Linked DNA regions of Cricetulus griseus. The protein of the gene in region 1 interacts with the protein of each later gene in a pairwise test. Links are inferred from orthologs where the notes say so. Each region holds a gene or a part of one and is shown on either strand. Other genes may lie near its edges.

The links. The genes of interacting proteins can lie anywhere in the genome.
Region 2: the proteins of Ndn (region 1) and Eef1akmt1 interact in a two-hybrid assay, tested with the Homo sapiens proteins (2 studies listed by BioGRID and IntAct). The link is inferred for Cricetulus griseus from reciprocal best matches to the Homo sapiens genes NDN and EEF1AKMT1.
Region 3: the proteins of Ndn (region 1) and Sertad3 interact in a two-hybrid assay, tested with the Homo sapiens proteins (2 studies listed by BioGRID and IntAct). The link is inferred for Cricetulus griseus from reciprocal best matches to the Homo sapiens genes NDN and SERTAD3.

The regions. Positions count from the first base shown.
Region 1 is NC_048596.1:135,132,898-135,137,740, forward strand, and holds Ndn (necdin), read right to left. Parts: upstream 2,970-4,843; coding exon 1,992-2,969; downstream 1-1,991. UniProt on the Homo sapiens protein: Growth suppressor that facilitates the entry of the cell into cell cycle arrest.
Region 2 is NW_023276807.1:212,637,230-212,643,529, reverse strand, and holds the start of Eef1akmt1 (EEF1A lysine methyltransferase 1), read left to right. Parts: upstream 1-2,360; 5' UTR 2,361-2,482; exon of another isoform or gene 2,483-2,569; intron 2,570-2,845; exon of another isoform or gene 2,846-2,980; intron 2,981-3,005; exon of another isoform or gene 3,006-3,304; intron 3,305-3,327; exon of another isoform or gene 3,328-3,569; intron 3,570-4,333; 5' UTR 4,334-4,427; intron 4,428-5,595; 5' UTR 5,596-5,614; coding exon 5,615-5,758; intron 5,759-6,300. UniProt on the Homo sapiens protein: Protein N-lysine methyltransferase that selectively catalyzes the trimethylation of EEF1A at 'Lys-79'.
Region 3 is NC_048602.1:8,446,458-8,452,920, reverse strand, and holds the start of Sertad3 (SERTA domain-containing protein 3), read left to right. Parts: upstream 1-2,523; 5' UTR 2,524-2,665; intron 2,666-2,787; exon of another isoform or gene 2,788-2,906; intron 2,907-5,441; 5' UTR 5,442-5,444; coding exon 5,445-6,044; 3' UTR 6,045-6,463.

The DNA.
Region 1 (4,843 bases):
CCACTGTCAGTTATCTTGGATCTGTTTATCTCTTTATCTTTCTCTTACAGCAGAGAAATCCTAAAATTTTTAAATAATCATGACATCTAACAACAGCTCTCCATGAAGAAGTGTGCTGAAAGCCAGGTCGCCCATATTAGGGTTACTGCCAATGTCTGCGTGCTCTCGCTCTCCACTCTCACTCCTGTAAAAGACTATGGGAACAACTAAATGGGATAGAATAAATTTTCACAGACACTGGGGTTTATGCACATTTTCATTCCCTGCTCTGCCAGTTAGATAATGCTATAAGTGCTGTCGGTTCTGCACTTACTCTTTCACACGGATAGGACTGTTTACTTTTTAAAAATATGCTGTGACAGATGCTGCCCCCTCATCCACCTTCTCCAGAAAAGGGTTCTAACTTTGGTTAGATGCCTTTTCCTACCTGGCCTCTAAAGGGTGTCTAATCTCATTAAAGCCCCTTCTCTCCCTCTTTCTCCTCAGACCAAAAGCTTCCTAATGATCTCTCCCCAATTATTGCTGCTTACTGTGACTGTCATCCCAGCCACCCTCTCATCACCCACTGTTTGCTGTAACCGACAGAATCCTGAGACACAAATGTAGCTGTGTGGCTGGAGGCAACTTCTTAAACCCAGCTACTCCCCTATTCCATAAATGTCATGACTCTTACTGATACCACTCTCAGAAAAGCTTCCCTCATCTTCATCCCTCTGGAAAGATCATGTTTCAAATCTTGTCTTCACCCGGAAGCATGTTAGGGACTTGATTAGGTTGACAATTCTTTCTGGAACTGAGTTCCCGAATTTATACACCCAGAAGCCTGTTTTCCTGTAAAAGATTTTGGAATTAATTAAAAAAAATCAAATCCTTAGTGTATGCAGCAGGGAGGCAAAGGGTGCTCATATGTGTGGTGGCCGTGGGTGAGCTAAGAGTCAAGGCTCCAGCATATAACCTGTATGATTTTTAGGACAGTTTATTACCCACACTCTTTACATATTTCTTCCTCCATGCTGACTCAGTAACCTCCTACCTCTTATGGATAGGGGGAGGATAAAATAAAGGATAAGGTGCTCATAAAGGATTTGGTAACGATGTTTCATTCTGTTAAGTGCCCACCAAAAACGTCAAAAAAAAAAAAAAAAAAAAACAGGGAAGGGGCAAGTCACTTCATAATACCTGTTATTAATTATCCCCATGTGATGTGATAAGATACTTTTCTTTGATTATTACACCCCTTAAATGTCAAAGTCTTTGAAGTGTCACCAGTTTGATTAAATAGAAAAATAAAGCTGTAACCCTGAGTGGTCTTGGGTAATGGTTTTCCACTCTTTTAGTTGAACACCATGTTTGTGCATGCTGTGCATGGGCAGATCTTCCTCATTCCCTCCCATCCCAACCCCCCTTCCCACAAAATAAATACCCCCCCAAAGAAATTATTCCACAAGGATCTTTAATGCTCACTTCAAAGTTTATTTATGGTGGGGTTGTATACATGTTTGGTAGGGTGTGCTAAGTGCCTACACTGAGAACATTCCAGTTCAAATCAGTCCATTCCACAGGGATGCTTCCTGTGCCAGTTGAGTTCATATAAGAGGGCCCTTGACCTTTCTCTGGTCAGGCCTGCTTTGCTCACCTCCTAACTCTCCTGGGCTTTTATGTTGATACAGATCATCACTTTCATACAAAGAATAGATACACAACATCTCAATGGATTTCACAGGTTCAGCACAGCACATCTCTTGTACAAAAAAGCACAGAAGTGAAAGCATCCACTTGCTTACTTGTAAACGCACATGCATAAATCCTTAACACGCTCCAAGCGAACACAAATGAATATATTGCATTGAAAGGTACAAAAGCACTGTAAGGAAAACTTAAAGGTTACACATGAAATACTGCACTGTGAATGTGGAATACTCTAATGACCCAACCCCACCCTTATACAGCCCAAGTATGGGTCAGAAATTATCAACATGCTGGGGACCTTCCTAATCACCAGAGACACTGCTGCGGGGGCAGTGGGCAGCAAGATTAGCCTCCCGCAGAGCTCTGGCCTGCTCCAGAGCCTCTCGGTAGCGGGAGGGCCAAGCCTGGGGATCTTTCTTAAAGACCCTGGCCAGGAACTCCATAATCTGCATCTTGGTGATTTCACGGTTGGCTCTGGACCCCCAGAAGAACTCGTACTCAGGAGGATCGCTGTGGGGAACAAGCTGGTACTTCAGGTAATTCTGCTGGACGAACTCCTCGGTGATAATCTTCCTCACGTCTCCGAAGGTGGAGTGCTTCTTCCAGGGCCTCAGTCCCAGGATGTGCAGCACATTCCAGACGGCTCCCTCTCTGGCCCCGCGGCCCTTCACGTAGATGAGGCTCAGGATCATGAGCAGGAGGCCTGTCATGGGCATACGGTTGTTCAGCGCCACTCTGTCCAGTTCTGCTGGGCTGAGGGCTTTGACCAGGGCGAACTCCATCGTGTGGATATTGGTCAGCCTCAGGTGCAGCCCAAAAACTCTGGCAAGGATGAGGCTGGTGCGCCGGAGGATGCTTCTGCACCATTTCTTGTAGCTGCCCATGACATCTTTCACCATGTCTGGGAACCAGAGGACCATCCTCTTCTGGTCCTTGACCAACACGTACCACATGAGCTCGTGCGCCTTCTGCACCACCTGGGCCGGGGCGGGTGGTGTTGGCAGCTGACGGACCGGGCTATCGGGATTGTGGGCGCGGCCCTCCTCTATGGCCTGCTCCAGAATCTTAGGGTCAATATCTTCTAACCTTTCTGGAGGCGGCGGCGAGGCCTGCCGGGCTGCCATAGGGCCTTCAGGAGCTTCTGGTGCCTCTGCGACGATCGCGGCTGGAGATGTGGGAGGAGGGACCCCCACCGGAATCTCAGAGCTCTCCTGCACCTCGGAGTTGGCGGCATCAGGTGCAAAGTTAGGGTCGCTCAAGTCCTTACTTTGTTCCGACATGTCTGCGCCTTCTGATCAGAGCAGGACCGCTGCGACTTGGAGCTCTTGGAACCAGCACTCCCTCAGTGGACACCAGCAGAGGAAGTGCGCTTTACTGAGAGCTGTGCCTTCCGCAGCAGCGGCCGGGCGGGGCGGACTTGACACTGCGCATGCGTGTTGGCAAGCCAGAAGGGTGGTAGGGCTGGATAGGAGCTGAGATGCAAAGCCCAACCACTGGGGTCTGAGGGAGGGTACCACTAAACTAATGGGAAAGATCTCCAGGTCTCCTGGGTGAGCTAGAAAGAGATGGTGATGGGGAAGGAGCAAGTTTAAGTAGAAAGATGCAGCTGAGATGGTGAAGTCAAGTTAGAGCACCTTTGAGTTTTTGTGTGAAAGGGGGTAGACTGGCTAGAGAGCTTGGACTTTCTACAAAAGAGTGAGACAGTAATGAGTTTTTGATTTTTTTTTTTTTTTTTGGAAGTGCGAGCATTGTGAAGATAATGTGATGTTTAAGATTGGAATGTTGAAAAATTAATAGAGCAAATCTTTACCAAACCTGAGTCCAGATCCAATACGGAAGAATATAAAGTGTCATTACAGACACTGGAAATCAGCCCAAGTGGAATTTGAATGTTTTGGAAGTAATAAAATTATATAGCATAATTGGTGTGTGTTTAAACATTTTTTTATTGGGATGGGAATTGGCTCAGTCCATGGGTAAGAGCATTTGTAGTGCAAGTGTGAGAACCCTAGTTCAAATCCCTAAGACTCACAAAAAATGTAATGGCATAGTCTGTGTTTGTAAACCCTGCTCTGAGAGGTACAATTAGGAGAATTACAGGCATTTGCCAGAAACCAGCCCAAGTTTAGGTTCAGTGAGAGATCCTGTCTCAAAGGAATAGGGTAGAGAACAATAGAGCAGGATACACAACACCCTTCTCATAAATTTGCATACACTTACACAATATACACATATAATTGACACAAATAAGAGTTTGTCTTTATACACAAGCACAATATGCAGTAAGCAAACTTGCATAATTAACACATATATCACTTTAACCTTTAGGGATATTTAAAATTCCTTTTTCTATCTCCTTAAACATGTATAGCTGAGTACACCCACTGCACTTTGTTATAGTACACTACAGAATATTGTTCCTAACTATGTTCTTGTTTCAGAAGGCAATCTTTATCCTCCATGTTCCTTTCACAGCCTTTGGTAATCAATTTTCTACTCTCTACTTATTTGATGTCATGTCTCCCTCATTTCCACAAATGTTGGAGATCAGGAAGCTTTGTCTATATATAGCCCTTTTCACTTCACACAATTCCATCAAGTTCATACATGCTGTCACAAGTAATAAACAATATTATATTGTACATGAGACATCAAATTAGTTATGAGAACAGTATATATACATATTATGTATATATACATATATATGTGTTAACACATACATGAATATACTTGTATGTACAATTATACTCATATATGCGTATATATGTATATATAACATTTTATGCATTCATCCATAACTGGATGTTTAGCTAGTTGATTTACAATTGTTTTAATATCTATAGATTTCAGCTTTCCACATTTATTGGGTCACTTTGATTTCATTTATATTTCTCCTTAAGATATTAGAGAAATTTTATGATAGTGTATTTTCATGTTTCCACAGTGCCATTCTTCCTTTAATTATTATTGCTACATCCTCTGAGTTTATAGAAAATATTCAACTCTGCTAAAGACTAGTTCCATGTTGGGAGCACAGCTAAATACTTGCCAATATATTTTAAGTGAAGTTTCTATTAATAAAGTATAACAGTCTTTCATAAATGAGGTGAATCCTATTGGTGACGATTTCCAGAGTATAATTAAAAGGATTGAG
Region 2 (6,300 bases), on another chromosome or scaffold:
GGGGAATTATGGTGATATTTTGTTTATGATCTAACAAATAAAGCTTGCCTGAAGATCAGAAAAGCAAAGCTGCCAACCACTAGAGAGTTGTACCTCTACCAACCAGTTGATCCTGTCCTCAGCATGACTGTAGACTGAATACACTGTATTCCTGTCTTGTCTCCACCAGCCTTATATTCCTCTCTAGGACTAGGATTAAAGGCTTGCACTACCATCGCCCAACCTCTATGGCTAACTAGTGTGGCTGCTGTGATTGTGATTAAAGGTATGTGCCACCACTGCCTGGCCTGTATGGTTGACTAGTGTGGTCAGCTTTGCACTCTGATCTTCAGGCAAGCTTTATGTGCTACATCATAAACAAAATGCCACCACAAGGCTAAATTCGTTTTACTTGGTAAATATATTCTAGCAAAGGTTCAACATCTAACATTCACTAAATACTGTGTATGCACACAAGACTGCAGGTGGGTTCAGTCAGAGTATGAAGGTCAGCACTTTTACTCACTGAACCCTCCATATCCAGTCCTTAAACATTTAAAAATGTTAGCCATACCACTCTTACCTCTTCTATTTCAAAATGACCTTGTTTTCAGTCAGCTGGCTTAGTCCTCTTGTCCTATACAAGAGGATACTTGAATTGACTAGTTTAAAGAACAGCATGGTTTCTCGTGGTCCTGGTGGCCAGGAAGTCCAAGATGAAGGCATGGGTGTCTGGTGATGGCTTTCTTGTTTGTTCATATAGCTGACATTGAAAAGCAAGAGAGAGCAACACCCTCTGTCCAACCTATTTAGAGGGGGCATAATGTCATTAACAAGGGATAAGCTTTTAGGTTCCACCAACTTTTAAATGCCCTACCTCAAGATTCTGTCTCATTGGCTACATCTGAATTTTGCAGGGTTTTGTGGAAAGCAAAGCGATTCTAATGCACCTGCTGCTGCTGCTGCTATTACTGGGGGGAAAAATCCAACAAGTGATCTCCAAACTTTAGTTTCCTGTCAACACTAATTTATGACTTAGTCTATTATCAAATAAATCTTACTTGATTAATAACTTTAATTATTTTTAATTTGTGTGGTTAAAAATCTTAATTACTCGGGCTGGAGAGATGGCTCAGAGGTTAAGAGCACCGACTGCTCTTCCAGAGGTCCTGAGTTCAATTCCCAGCAACCACATGGTGGCTCACAACCATCAGTAATGAGATCTGGTGCCCTCTTCTGGTGTGCAGATATACATGGAAGCAGAATGTTGTGTACATAATAAATAAATAAAATCTTTAAAAAAAATCTTAATTACTCGAGCTTAGATTATTCATTTATCTATTTATTTATGGCTTTTTGAGACAGGGTTTCTCTGTGTAACAACCCTGGATATCCTGGAACTGGAGATACAGTCTTAATATGTAGCCCTGCTCTCCAAGAACTTGTGCAGCCCAGACTGCACTCAAACTTAGAGAGATTCATCTGCTTCCTCTGGGTCTTGGGATTAAAGATGTGGGGCACCAGGACTGACTATTTCTATTTTCAGAGATCTTTCAAAGTATGCTTTGCACCATTGCTGAATGGAAAAGGAATAATTCCCGAACTGAAATTGATTTGAAATCATCTTTTAGGTGATTGACTGAACAATTTCACCTTTACTCCAATAAGGATTAGTTTGCCTTTGATATTACTTTTTATGATTTATGAAAAACATTTAAGTTATAATAAATAAATTCCACAAGGAAAATATTAACCATTATGTATTACCTGAGTGGCCAGCAACTATTGGAGATGAAAAGGTTTTAGTTGGGCGGTGGATCATAACTTTAATCCCAGCATTCGGGAGTTTGAGGCAGGCAGGTTTCTGAGTTTGAGGCCAGCCTGATCTACAGAGAGAGCTTTCCTGTCTTGAAAAAACATAAGCAAAACAAAACAAGCAAAAGGTTTGAACTTTTCTCCCCTCCCTCTCTCTCTCCCCCACTTTCTTTCCTCTCTCCAACTGCTCCTGTCTCTGGAGGCTGGTCTCTCCCCTTCCCTTTTCGTTTTTTAAGATCCCTATCCCTAATAAAAATCCCCTCTGCTTGAACCCTGTCGCATGGCGTCTTTCTCTCGTGCACTGCTTTTCTTAAATTACAACAGAAGGAAAGGGAGCCTTAGCCATAATTCCGGTCTATTGTGTGCCAGCCACCACGCTAGGTAGTGTAGCTGGTAGAATATGTATTCACAAACGCCCCGTGCATTCAACGCTCAAAGCTCTGAAAGACTGATGGGTTTGGAAGACTTTCTGAATCCCCTAATACTATGAAGCCTTCATTGTTTCAGTCCGTGTTTCAATTCTAAGACCGTCGGGGCAAACAAACCTAGTGGGAAACTAGCTGACCACCAGGAGCCTGGGTTCACTGGGCGGGACTAGACTCCAGGACCGCTTCCGACTGCGCCTGCGCAAACGCGGCCGTCCCTTGCACGGCGTCTGCGCACTGAGGCAACTGCGCATGTGTCAGTGGTGAGTGGCGGGCGCGCAGTGGGGCGACAGAGACCTAAGGGCTTTAGGTGGGCTTCGGCGATTCCGGGTGGATTCCGTGGCGGCGGCGTGCGTTCAGTGGTGACTTCGGCGGGGCTTGCTGTCCACGGGGCGGGGCTCGCTGTCCACGGGGCGGGGCTCGCTGCCCACGGGGCGGGGCTCGCTGCCCACGGGGCGGGGCTTGCCTCCACGGAATCGGGCTCGCTGCCCACGGGGCAGGGCTCGCTGTCCACGGGGCGGGGCTTGCGGTTCACGCCGACCTCGGCTCTGTGGGGTCCCTGGACTTGGGCATCTTGACCCGGAAACAGGCCCTAGCATCCCGCAGGTGGTTAGGTCGGAATGGTGCTCCAACCGGAAGCGGAAGACTGCCGGGAAGGGGGCACGTGCTGGAAACAGGCCGGGGCTGCCTGGGCGGTCCCCTAACCTACCATGTTGTGTGTTCATGGCCTGCTTGCTTTCTCCGTGGAAGTTTTATCTCAGGTTGTGGTGGGGGTTTATTTTTGAGATGGTCTCTGTGTAGCCCAGGCTGACCTCGAACTCATGATTCTCTTGCTTCAATAGTGCTGTCCTCAGACCCGCATCACCACACCCAACCATCTTTCTTTGAAGTGGAGTGCTGCCCTCTGAACTATAGAAAGTTCAGCATCATAGCTGGCCGTCATCTATGGGTTACCAGCAATGCCCTTGGGTATGACGACCAAAAATGTTTCCACATGTTTGCAAACGTTTCTCTTAGGAGACGAGTGATTCCTGGCTTTTCCCATTAGAATACTGATTTGGAATACCAGCCAGGAACGTCTCCAGGTCAGTTTAATGATAACACTTCCACGCCCCCTTTCGAGCCTGAAAATCTCTTCAACAGAACTTCACAAATCCACTTATATATTATAAAAACAATATAAAACAGCCATATGGGGTAGCCCATACTTGTAATCTCAGGAATCTGAGGCAGCAGGGTCATGAGTTACAGGCTAGCCTAAGCTACATAGTGAGTTCCAGGACAGTCTGGGCTGTATAATGAGACCCAGTCTTCTGTATTTCTTCCCCTGCCCACCCCCCGCAAAAAAAGGTTAGTAACTTATGTTTTCCACCACTACCTTAGTAAATAAACACCCAGACATACAAAAATAAAGTTTATGCTTACTATCAGCAAATGTTTGATTTGTTTATTTTATATGCCTATATGTGAGGGATAACAAAAAGTTTCTTATGAGAAAGGATCATGAGTTTAAGGAGACTTTTATATTTTGCTGTATGACTACTTGATAAATTTGTACTTCCTAAGGTAGTGGTGGAAGTGACGTGTAGTTTGCAGCCATGCTTCATTGCGGGTGAGCACTGCCAAAAGCAACAGCCTCCTGTGTGCTGGGAGTTTTCAATGAACTGTTGGTTGTGCATGTTTAAGTAACTTTTTACGGATGCTAACACCCCTCATACACATTTAGTTTTGAAACCTCATATATGAGGGCATAGCTTTCAGTTTAAGAAGTTAAAGAACATCTAGGCTATGTACTCATAAGTTTTTCAAGGTTTTGGGCACTAGGTAACACAGTGTTCCCTCCGTGGGCATCAGGCATTCATGTGGTGCACACACATACATGGAGGCAAATACACAATAAAAATAAAAGGGATTGGATTTATTAAGTATAATTATGAAGTAGCCTGCTGTTTGTAGAGATGAAAACTTCCATATCAAAGATGAGAATTACTGAGATGGTTCAGTGGTAAAGTTTCTTGTGGACAATCCTGTTGCCCTGAGTTTGATACCTAGAACCCACGTGGCCAAGGTTTTTTGTTTTGTTTTGTTTTGTTTTGTTTTGTTTTTTCTTCAAGACTTGCTGAAAAACTAGAGACCCCTCAGATACAAGAACCGCAACAAGGCAGAAATAGAAAGAGACCACTGGGAAAGAAAGACAAAAGAATACAAGTGAGAGCTTTCTCTTTTTGTTGTTGTTTTGTTTGTTTGTTTGTTTGTTTTTGTTTTTCGAGACAGGATTTCTCTGTGTAGCTTTGGAGTCTATCCTGGCAGTCACTCTGGAGACCAGGCTGGCTTCGAACTCACAGAGATCCATCCGCCTGCCTCTGCCTCCCGAGTGCTGGGATTAAAGGCGTGCGTCACCAATACCCATCGAGAGCTTTCATTAGCGTTTATTGTGTGTGCAGGTTACACAGGTGTGGCACAAGGTTCATATGGAGATCAAAGTCTTACTATTTTTTTTTTTAAGACAGTGTTTCTCTATAACTTGGCTAGTTGGAGCTAGCTATGTAGACCAGGCCAAAGTCAGAGATCCACCTGCCTCTGCCTCCCAGGTGCTGGGATTAATAAAGGTGTGCACCCCCAAGCCTGACTATCCTACTTTATTTCAGTGTTTCTCTCATTTTTGCTGCATCCTTCTCCTCTCTCTCTCTCTCTCTCTCTCTCTCTCTCTCTCTCTCTCTCTCTCTCTCCCTGGGTTTGGGCTATCATATGCAAGCCACCTCATCTGTATGTTTGTTTTAGATTTTATTTGTTTGTATTTTATGTGTATGAGTATTTGCCTTAATGTATGTCCATGCACCACATGTGTGCCTGATGCCAGTAAAGACCGGAAGCAGGCATCAGGTCCCCTGGGACTGGAGTTATTGACTTGTAAGCTGCCATGTAGTTGCTCAACATAGAACCAGGTCCTCTGGAAGAGCGGCCAGTGTTTGGCTGCTGAACCATCTCTAGCACCATGTCTGTGTGTTTTTACAGGGAATCCAAAGATTGACCTCGGGTTATCAGGGATGCATAGTCATTTCACCTGCTAAGCCATCCCACCAGTCCTAGAAAGTTTTAAATATGTATGCTTTCTGTATAAAATTCACCTCTTGACAGGCTGTGGTGGCACACACCATTAATCCCAGCACTTGGGAGGCAGAGGCCAGTGGATCTCTGAGGCCAGCCTCATCTGTAGATCGAGTTCCGGGACTGCCAGGAATACACAGAGAAACCCTGTTTCAGTGGGGGGAAAAATTCACTTCTGTTTGGGTTATTGTCTTGAGTTTAATTTTTCTCATTATTATTTGGTGGGCAGAAGAAACAAGGCCGTGCAACATATATTCTTGCTCTGCAGGTTGTAGAGGATTTGTGAAATGAGTGATTCAGAAGATGATGATATACCCCAGCTTTCTTCCCACGCCTTAGCAGCTCTCCAGGAATTTTATGCTGAGCAGAAGCAGTCCACCATCCCAGGAAGGGATGATAAATACAATGTTGGGGTAATAGAGGAGAACTGGGTAAGTCCATGCGACCATGTTGGAGAAATAGCGGTGTGGCACTTACCATTGCCTAGTTACTGTTTTATCTGTCCTTCCCTCTACTACCTATCATTCAGAAACTGAGGACGCTATAGGGAGCAAGAGCAGGAAGCAGACATCGGACAGATGTCCTGGGACAGTACGTGCACATTTTCCTGGCTCTGACTGGTAGGCTGGCTGGTGACTGAAGGACGGGTTTTACAGGTAGTGGGATAATGTTGTCACGTCTATCCCTAGCTTGTGCTTTCTGCTTGAGTAGAGTCACACCCTATTGGTTTTCCTAGAACCCAACAGTCCTGATTGGAAAAAATTATATTGTTTCAGTAAAAAGGGTAGCTCAAGCTAACATAATGAAAAAAATCAATGAGAGAATTTTTAACAATAGGTTAGTTTCTAGTTTTATACATTTTGTGTTTTGTAGCCATACAAAAAGTAGGTGTACCAGGGCAATGGTACGTCCTGTAATCCTAGCCCCCCAGGAAGCAGAGGCAGGAGGATCAAGCAGCCTCAGGTCAGCCTAG
Region 3 (6,463 bases), on another chromosome or scaffold:
AGGCTCCAAAGCTACACAGAAACTCTGTCTCAAAAAACAAACAAAAAAAGAAAAAGAAAAAGAAAAAGAAAGAAAGAAAGAAGGAAGGAAAGAGAGAGAGAAAGAGAGAAAGAAAGAAAGAAAGAAAGAAAGAAAGAAAGAAAGAAAGAAAGAAAATGATGACAATAAAAAACGACCCAGGCTGGGTTTGGCATTGAACAACTGTAATCCCAGCACCTGCGTGGTGGCTTGAAGGATCAGAAGCTCAAGGTCAAGTACGTATGAGGATAGAGTTCTAGGGCTGTAGAGGTAGTTCAGTGAGTAAAGGCACTTGCCACCAAGCCTGACGACCTGAGTTGGATCCTTAGCTCTCACGTGGTCGGACTCCCTCAAATTGTCCTCTGACCTCTACATGCCTGTTATGGTACACATAAACCCAATATAAACAAATACAATATTTTAAAAATAAGTAGGAAGTTCCTGAGCTATGGGAGAGACACTGACTCAGAAGCAAAATCAAAGAGATGGTTCCATGATTGAGAGCCCCTGTTGCTCTTGCACAGGGTCCAGGTTAGGTTCCCACATCCTACATGGTAACTCATAACTATCAATAACTCTAACCCCAGGGGATCTGATGCCTTCTCACTTCGGCTGGCACCAGGCATGTACATGGTGCACATACATACATTCCAATAAAATGCTCACATAAAACTTAAAAAAAAAAGCAAAACCAGGGGCTGGAGAGAGGGCTCAGCATTTAAAAGCACAGCATTACACACCTGTCTGTAACTCCAGTTCCAGGGCTTCTGAGACCCTCACACACACATGCAGGCAAAACACAAAAACACATACAATAATTAAAAAAAAAAAAAAAAAGCAAAACCACCTGGATGGCGATGGTGCCACAAGCCTTTAATCCCAGCACTTGGTAGGCAGAGGCAAGTGGATCTCTGAGGCCAGCTTGGTCTACAGAGTGAGTTCCAGGACAGCCAGGCAGTCAGGGCTACACAGAGAAACCGTGACTCAAAAAGCATAAAAAAAAAGAAAAAGAAAGAGAGAGAGAGAGGGAGGGAGGGAGGGAGAGAGAGAGAGAGAGAGAGAAAGAAAGAAAGAAAGAAAGAAAGAAAGAAAGAAAGAAAGAAAGAAAGAAAGAAAGACCACAGATTCAGAGTTTTGCGGTCTCAGTGCTGAGAGTTTGCTATGGACTTGCCTTGCTTTGGACTCTTTAGATCAGGTAAACTCTTTAGATCAGGTAAGTCCCATATTTATTTCTTAGAAGGTATTAGAGCCAGTTTAGAAACACTGATAGCAAGCCAGACAAGATGGTGAATGCCTAAATCCTAGCGCTTGAAGACTAAAACAGGAGGGTAGAGAATGCCAGGGTAGCTTAGGCTAAATACATAGCAAGAGCCTGTTTCAGGAAACAACCAAAAAAATGTCTGGAGACGTAGCTCAGAAGTAGAGTGAGTGCTTTGGCACTAGGTCGGCGCTGTGTTCCCTCCCCAACACCAAAAAAAAAAAAAAAAAAAAAAAAAGAAAAGAAAGAAACAAAGGGGGGAATTTTCTGGGGCTGGAGGGGCACACCTGTAACCCCAGCCAGAACTGAGGCGATGGGAGCAAGGGAATTAGAATTTCAAGGCCAGCACTGTCTACAACACGAGCCGGGAGCTTGCACACGACTGTCTCAAAACAAAACGAAACCTGAAAATGAGTCCTGGGGAACAGGAAGGAAGGCACCCCAGGCCAGATCGTGATAGGGCAAGCTCACCCGTCACTCTGAGACCATGTCACAAAATAAGTACAAACTGAAAAATCTTAGGGGCTATGTAGCTCAGTCCTACTACAGCGCTCAAGTCCAGTGCCCAAACCCAAAAGATAAATTTGAGTTTGTCCCGAGAGTTGCGCGGAGCGATGAAGAGTGAGCAGCAAGAGGCGGGCAACATGATTTCGAAACCATGGGGCAGCCTGGGATCCAGGAGCTCCCACCAAACGGGCAGCGGACCCCTCAAGATTAAGCACCGACTGCGCCTACAAAACGGCTGGGGAGCTGGGGGAGGCAGAGCGAAGCCTGCCAAGGGGCGGGGCTGCGGTCGTCCAGGTAACGCAAGCCGCAATACGCGATTGGCTGATATTTAGTGCGTCACTCCCTCCCCCCCTCCGCTTAGCCGGGGCGGGGGCGTGGCCTCCGCGGGTTTGCCCAGCCTGCAAAACCGCAAGGGAGGGAGGGAGGGGAGTGTGGTGTCACCCGGTGTGGCCCCGCACTGGGGTCTGGCCCGGGTGTGTAAGCGACCTGCGGAGAGACAGAGGAGCAAGAAACACAGCGGGGTGCAAAGAAGCCGTGCGCACGGCCGGCGCCACCCTCCGCCACCGTGCTGGCCCGCCCCGCCCCCTGTTAGTCGCCAGCTTAAACGGGACCCGGCCCTGGAGGGGGGCGGAGCCTAGCGCCCGTGGCTCCTCCTAGCCAATGGCGCCCCACGGCGGGCAGGGTTCCAACCAATCGTGGCTCGCTATGGCCTGCGGGGCGGAGCCGAGCGTCTCCCCGCCCCCGGCCCCCCGGCCCCCCTCCCACGGCCAGACCCGGAGGCCCCGGGGAAAGTGAGCCTGACTCCTGGCCAGCTCTGGTGGGACGCGGCGCCCAGCGCGGGGTTGCCGGAGGTTTGCAGTCGAGGCGACCGTGGCGACCGAGGTGATTGATCAGTGGCCGCCTGGGTGGGGTTTGCTGAAGTTGCAGGAGGGGGAGGAGGGGGAGGAGGAGGGGGCGCGCCCCGGGGTGGGGTGGGCGGAAGCGGGGTAGGGACCCGGGCGGATTGGTGTGGCTGAAGCCGGATCCCAGCATCAGCACCGGAGGGGAGGCAGGATGGAGCTGGAGGACCGAGGGGAACCGGAGGAGGAACTTTGGAGCGGGGCGACGGCTTGGGTGTCCCCGGGTGGGCAGAGTGCGGAGTGGCTCGGCGTTCTGGGGAGCGAGTGAGAGTTCCAGGGCTGCCGCCGCAACCCCTTAGATAGAGGAGCCCGGGAAGAACGCGGGGCACCCGGGGCTGGGCTTCCGAGACGCCCGTCTGAGAAGGGGATGATGCCTGGGGAGGAGTTCCGGCTCGGGGTCCTCCGACCTTGCAAAGTAAAGCCGGGGGGAAGTCATTTCAAAGTCGAGCCACGAACGGGGGGACGCTGGGGACGAGGTCTCAGAATCGAGGTCCCCGCTCTCCCCCGGCCGGACTACCGTAGTCAGTCGTTCACCTGCTCTGAACGATGCGATGCGGGACTCCGCACCCCGAGGACGCTCGAAGGAAGAATCCAGAAACTTCCTGGGGTGATAGGAACCCGGAGAAAGCCCTTTTCGGGTGGAAGGCGGGTGGGGGAGGGGCGTGGAGCTCAGATTCGCCGCCCCGAAGGCAGCAGAGGGCGGGGTTCGGCCGGTGCCCGGCGGCTGGGCGTCCGGGTCCCTTCCCCCCGCCACCAACCAGAGCTCCAATGAGCATGCTCTCGGGCAGGGCGGGTGTGTCCAGGCCCCCCCAGCGCGCAGCGCCTTCTGGGGATTGTAGTTCGAGAGTGACAGCAGCGGCTCTGCCTGTGGTCTCTGGGTCCACAGCTCCCAGAAGGCCCTGAGGACATATTGGGGTGTTCTTGGATCTGATCTAGAGATCCAGGGAAGGGCGGTGCCTATGAGAAAGGACTGTATGGAGGGCACAGCTTGGTGTTGGTTCAGTTCTATCCGGTTGAGGAATGCAAGTTTGGTAAATGCTCCCTCTCTTGTGAAAGCTCCTGGTCTTGGTGTCGGAAACGTATATGGACAGAAATATCCTTGTAAAAAGAAGAAAATCACACACACACACACACACACACACACACACACACACACACACACACACACACACACACACACACCCTCAGTTGGGCATGGGGTTGCACGTCCCAGCATTTGGAAAAGAAAGGCGGTAGGATATGAGTTCTAGGCCAACCTGACCTACAGGGGAGGTTCCAGGGCTACACAGAGAAACCTTGTCTGAAAAGAAACAAAAACAAAACAACAAATCTAAGGTCCAGAGATATGGCCATGCCTCTTGCCAAGATCACAGTTCAAACGCAGAGCTCAAATGTGCTTTCGGTCTGTGGCTCTGTACTCCATACTTGGCTGTCCTGTGACTTGTTAGGGAAAAAAAAAAAAAGATAATAAAAGTATTGCTGGAGAACAGTGCAAGATCCATTGAGATCAGAGTTAAGATCCTCACTTTGCAAATGCTGAAATTGCTCGTCAGAGTGTAATTTTAACATCGTGACTGCCGCAGGCTAATAAGTGATATTCAAGCCAAGTGATATTCAAGTGTTTGGTGATTTGTTTGGGGGCTTTTTGTTTTTCTGAGAGAGGGCCATCTGACCATGAGACTCTGCTTACCCTAAGATTGGATACGTGGACTAGGGTGGTCTTTATTTTTATTTATTTATTTTTTGACTAGGGTGGTCTTGAACTCACAAAACTCTACCTGCCTCTGCCTCCTGGTGATGAAATTAATGGCATGGGACAGCATTGGCAATTTTTTTTCTGTTTATTTTTATGTTTTTAATTTTAGGTGTATGAGTATTTTACTTGCATGTATGTATAGACACCACTTGTGGCAGATCCCCTAAAGTGGAGGCATAGGTCCTCTAAAACTGGAGTTTTAGACAGCTCAGAACCATCACGTTGGTGCTAGAAATCAAACTCAGGTCCTCCGGAAGAGCAGCTGGTGTTCTTAACCACTCAGCCATACCTTTTATATTTGAGATGCTATCTAGCCAAGGATGACCTTGAACTCCTGAACTTTTCTGCCTCCTAAATGCTCTTACACACACACACACACACACACTCACGCACGCACGCACGCACGCACGCACGCACACACACACACACACACATTCTCTTTCTCACTGATCACTCTGTGCTACCCTACTTGCATCTTGTTTTAATATACATTGTTGTTTTGCCTGCATGTATGTCTGTGTCTGAAGGTGTCAGATAGATCTTGGAGTTACAGAGAGTTGTGAGCTGCCCTGTGGGTGCTGGGAATTGAACCCGAGTGCTCTGGAAGGGCAGTCGGTGCTCTTAACCACTGAGCCGTCTCTCCAGCCCTGAATCTTGTTCTTTTAATCAAATAGCATACATTTATTCACCATTCTTAGCCTTGTAGGAGTCTGACTATATGCACTTTTAAGTAGAGGTTCTGATCAAAGGAACCAACCAACCCTCCCGTAACTATACAGTCTTGCTTGAAAAAGTGGGATCCAAAGGTATCCAAAGGCATGGCTGTCTCATGCCTTTAATTCCAGTACTGTGAGGGCTGGGTGGATCTCTGAATTCGAGGCCAGCCTGGTCTTACAGATTGAGTTCCAGGACTGCCATGGCACAGAAAACAAACTGTCTTAAACAAACAAAAAAGCAAGCAAACAAAAAAAGCAAATGTGTCTGATGTGACTCTTTTCCACAGGACATGGGAGGCTTAAAGAGGAAACATTCTGATTTGGAAGAGGAGGAGGAGGAGGAGGATGAGAACTGGGCCTGGAGTCCAGCTGGTCTTCGAAGCTACCAGCAAGCCCTGCTCCGAATCTCTCTGGACAAAGTCCAGCGCAGCCTGGGCCCCAGAGCACCCAGCCTCCGCAGGCATGTCCTTATCCACAACACACTCCAGCAGCTCCAGGCTGCCATTCGCCTGGCTCCAGCTCCAGCCCTGCCCCCAGAGCCTCTCTTCCTGGGTGAAGAAGATTTCTCCCTGTCTACCACCATTGGCTCTATCCTCAGGGAGCTGGATACATCCATGGGTGAGATGGCATCCCCTCCGAATCCAGTGGCTCCCCCAAGTCCCCCGAATGAAACGATGCCCCAGGCTGATCCTGTGTTTTTAGAAGCTCTGAGCTCCCGGTACTTGGGAGATTCTGGCCTGGATGACTTCTTTCTGGACATTGACACATCTGCGGTGGAAAAGGACTCTTCACTCCCGCCCCCAGAGCCTCCTCGAAGCCTCTTCTGTGCTCCAGGATCCTGGGAGTGGAATGAATTGGACCACATCATGGAAATTATCCTAGGATCCTAAGACTCATGGGGGGGTCCTTCCTGGCATCAGGCTCTTTGAGCTGGGTCCTTGGATGTGACCCTTGTATGTGTGTTTAGCCGAGGCTCTCAGCAGTGGACTGTGGCCTCCTTTCCTCCTGTCAGGATTCCACAAACTGCCCTGCCCGTGTGCATGTCTGGTTACCCCCAGCCTTCCGTGAAGGTGCGTCTTCCTGAATTAATTTATCTCTTCCAGATGCCTTAAGGAGACTCTGTTTCAGGGAGTCCGATTTCTCACTTACACACTTCTTCTGCCTCCAGTTCCCACTGCCCTTGCCACCACTAGGGCCTCAGAGAACATAAAACTGGACCTGTCAAAGGGTGATAGACGGGCTGCCTCTCCAGGGAGTGGGAGGGGCTGGTCTCCTCCTGGCAGGCTGAGCCCCACTTCCTTGGCAGGAC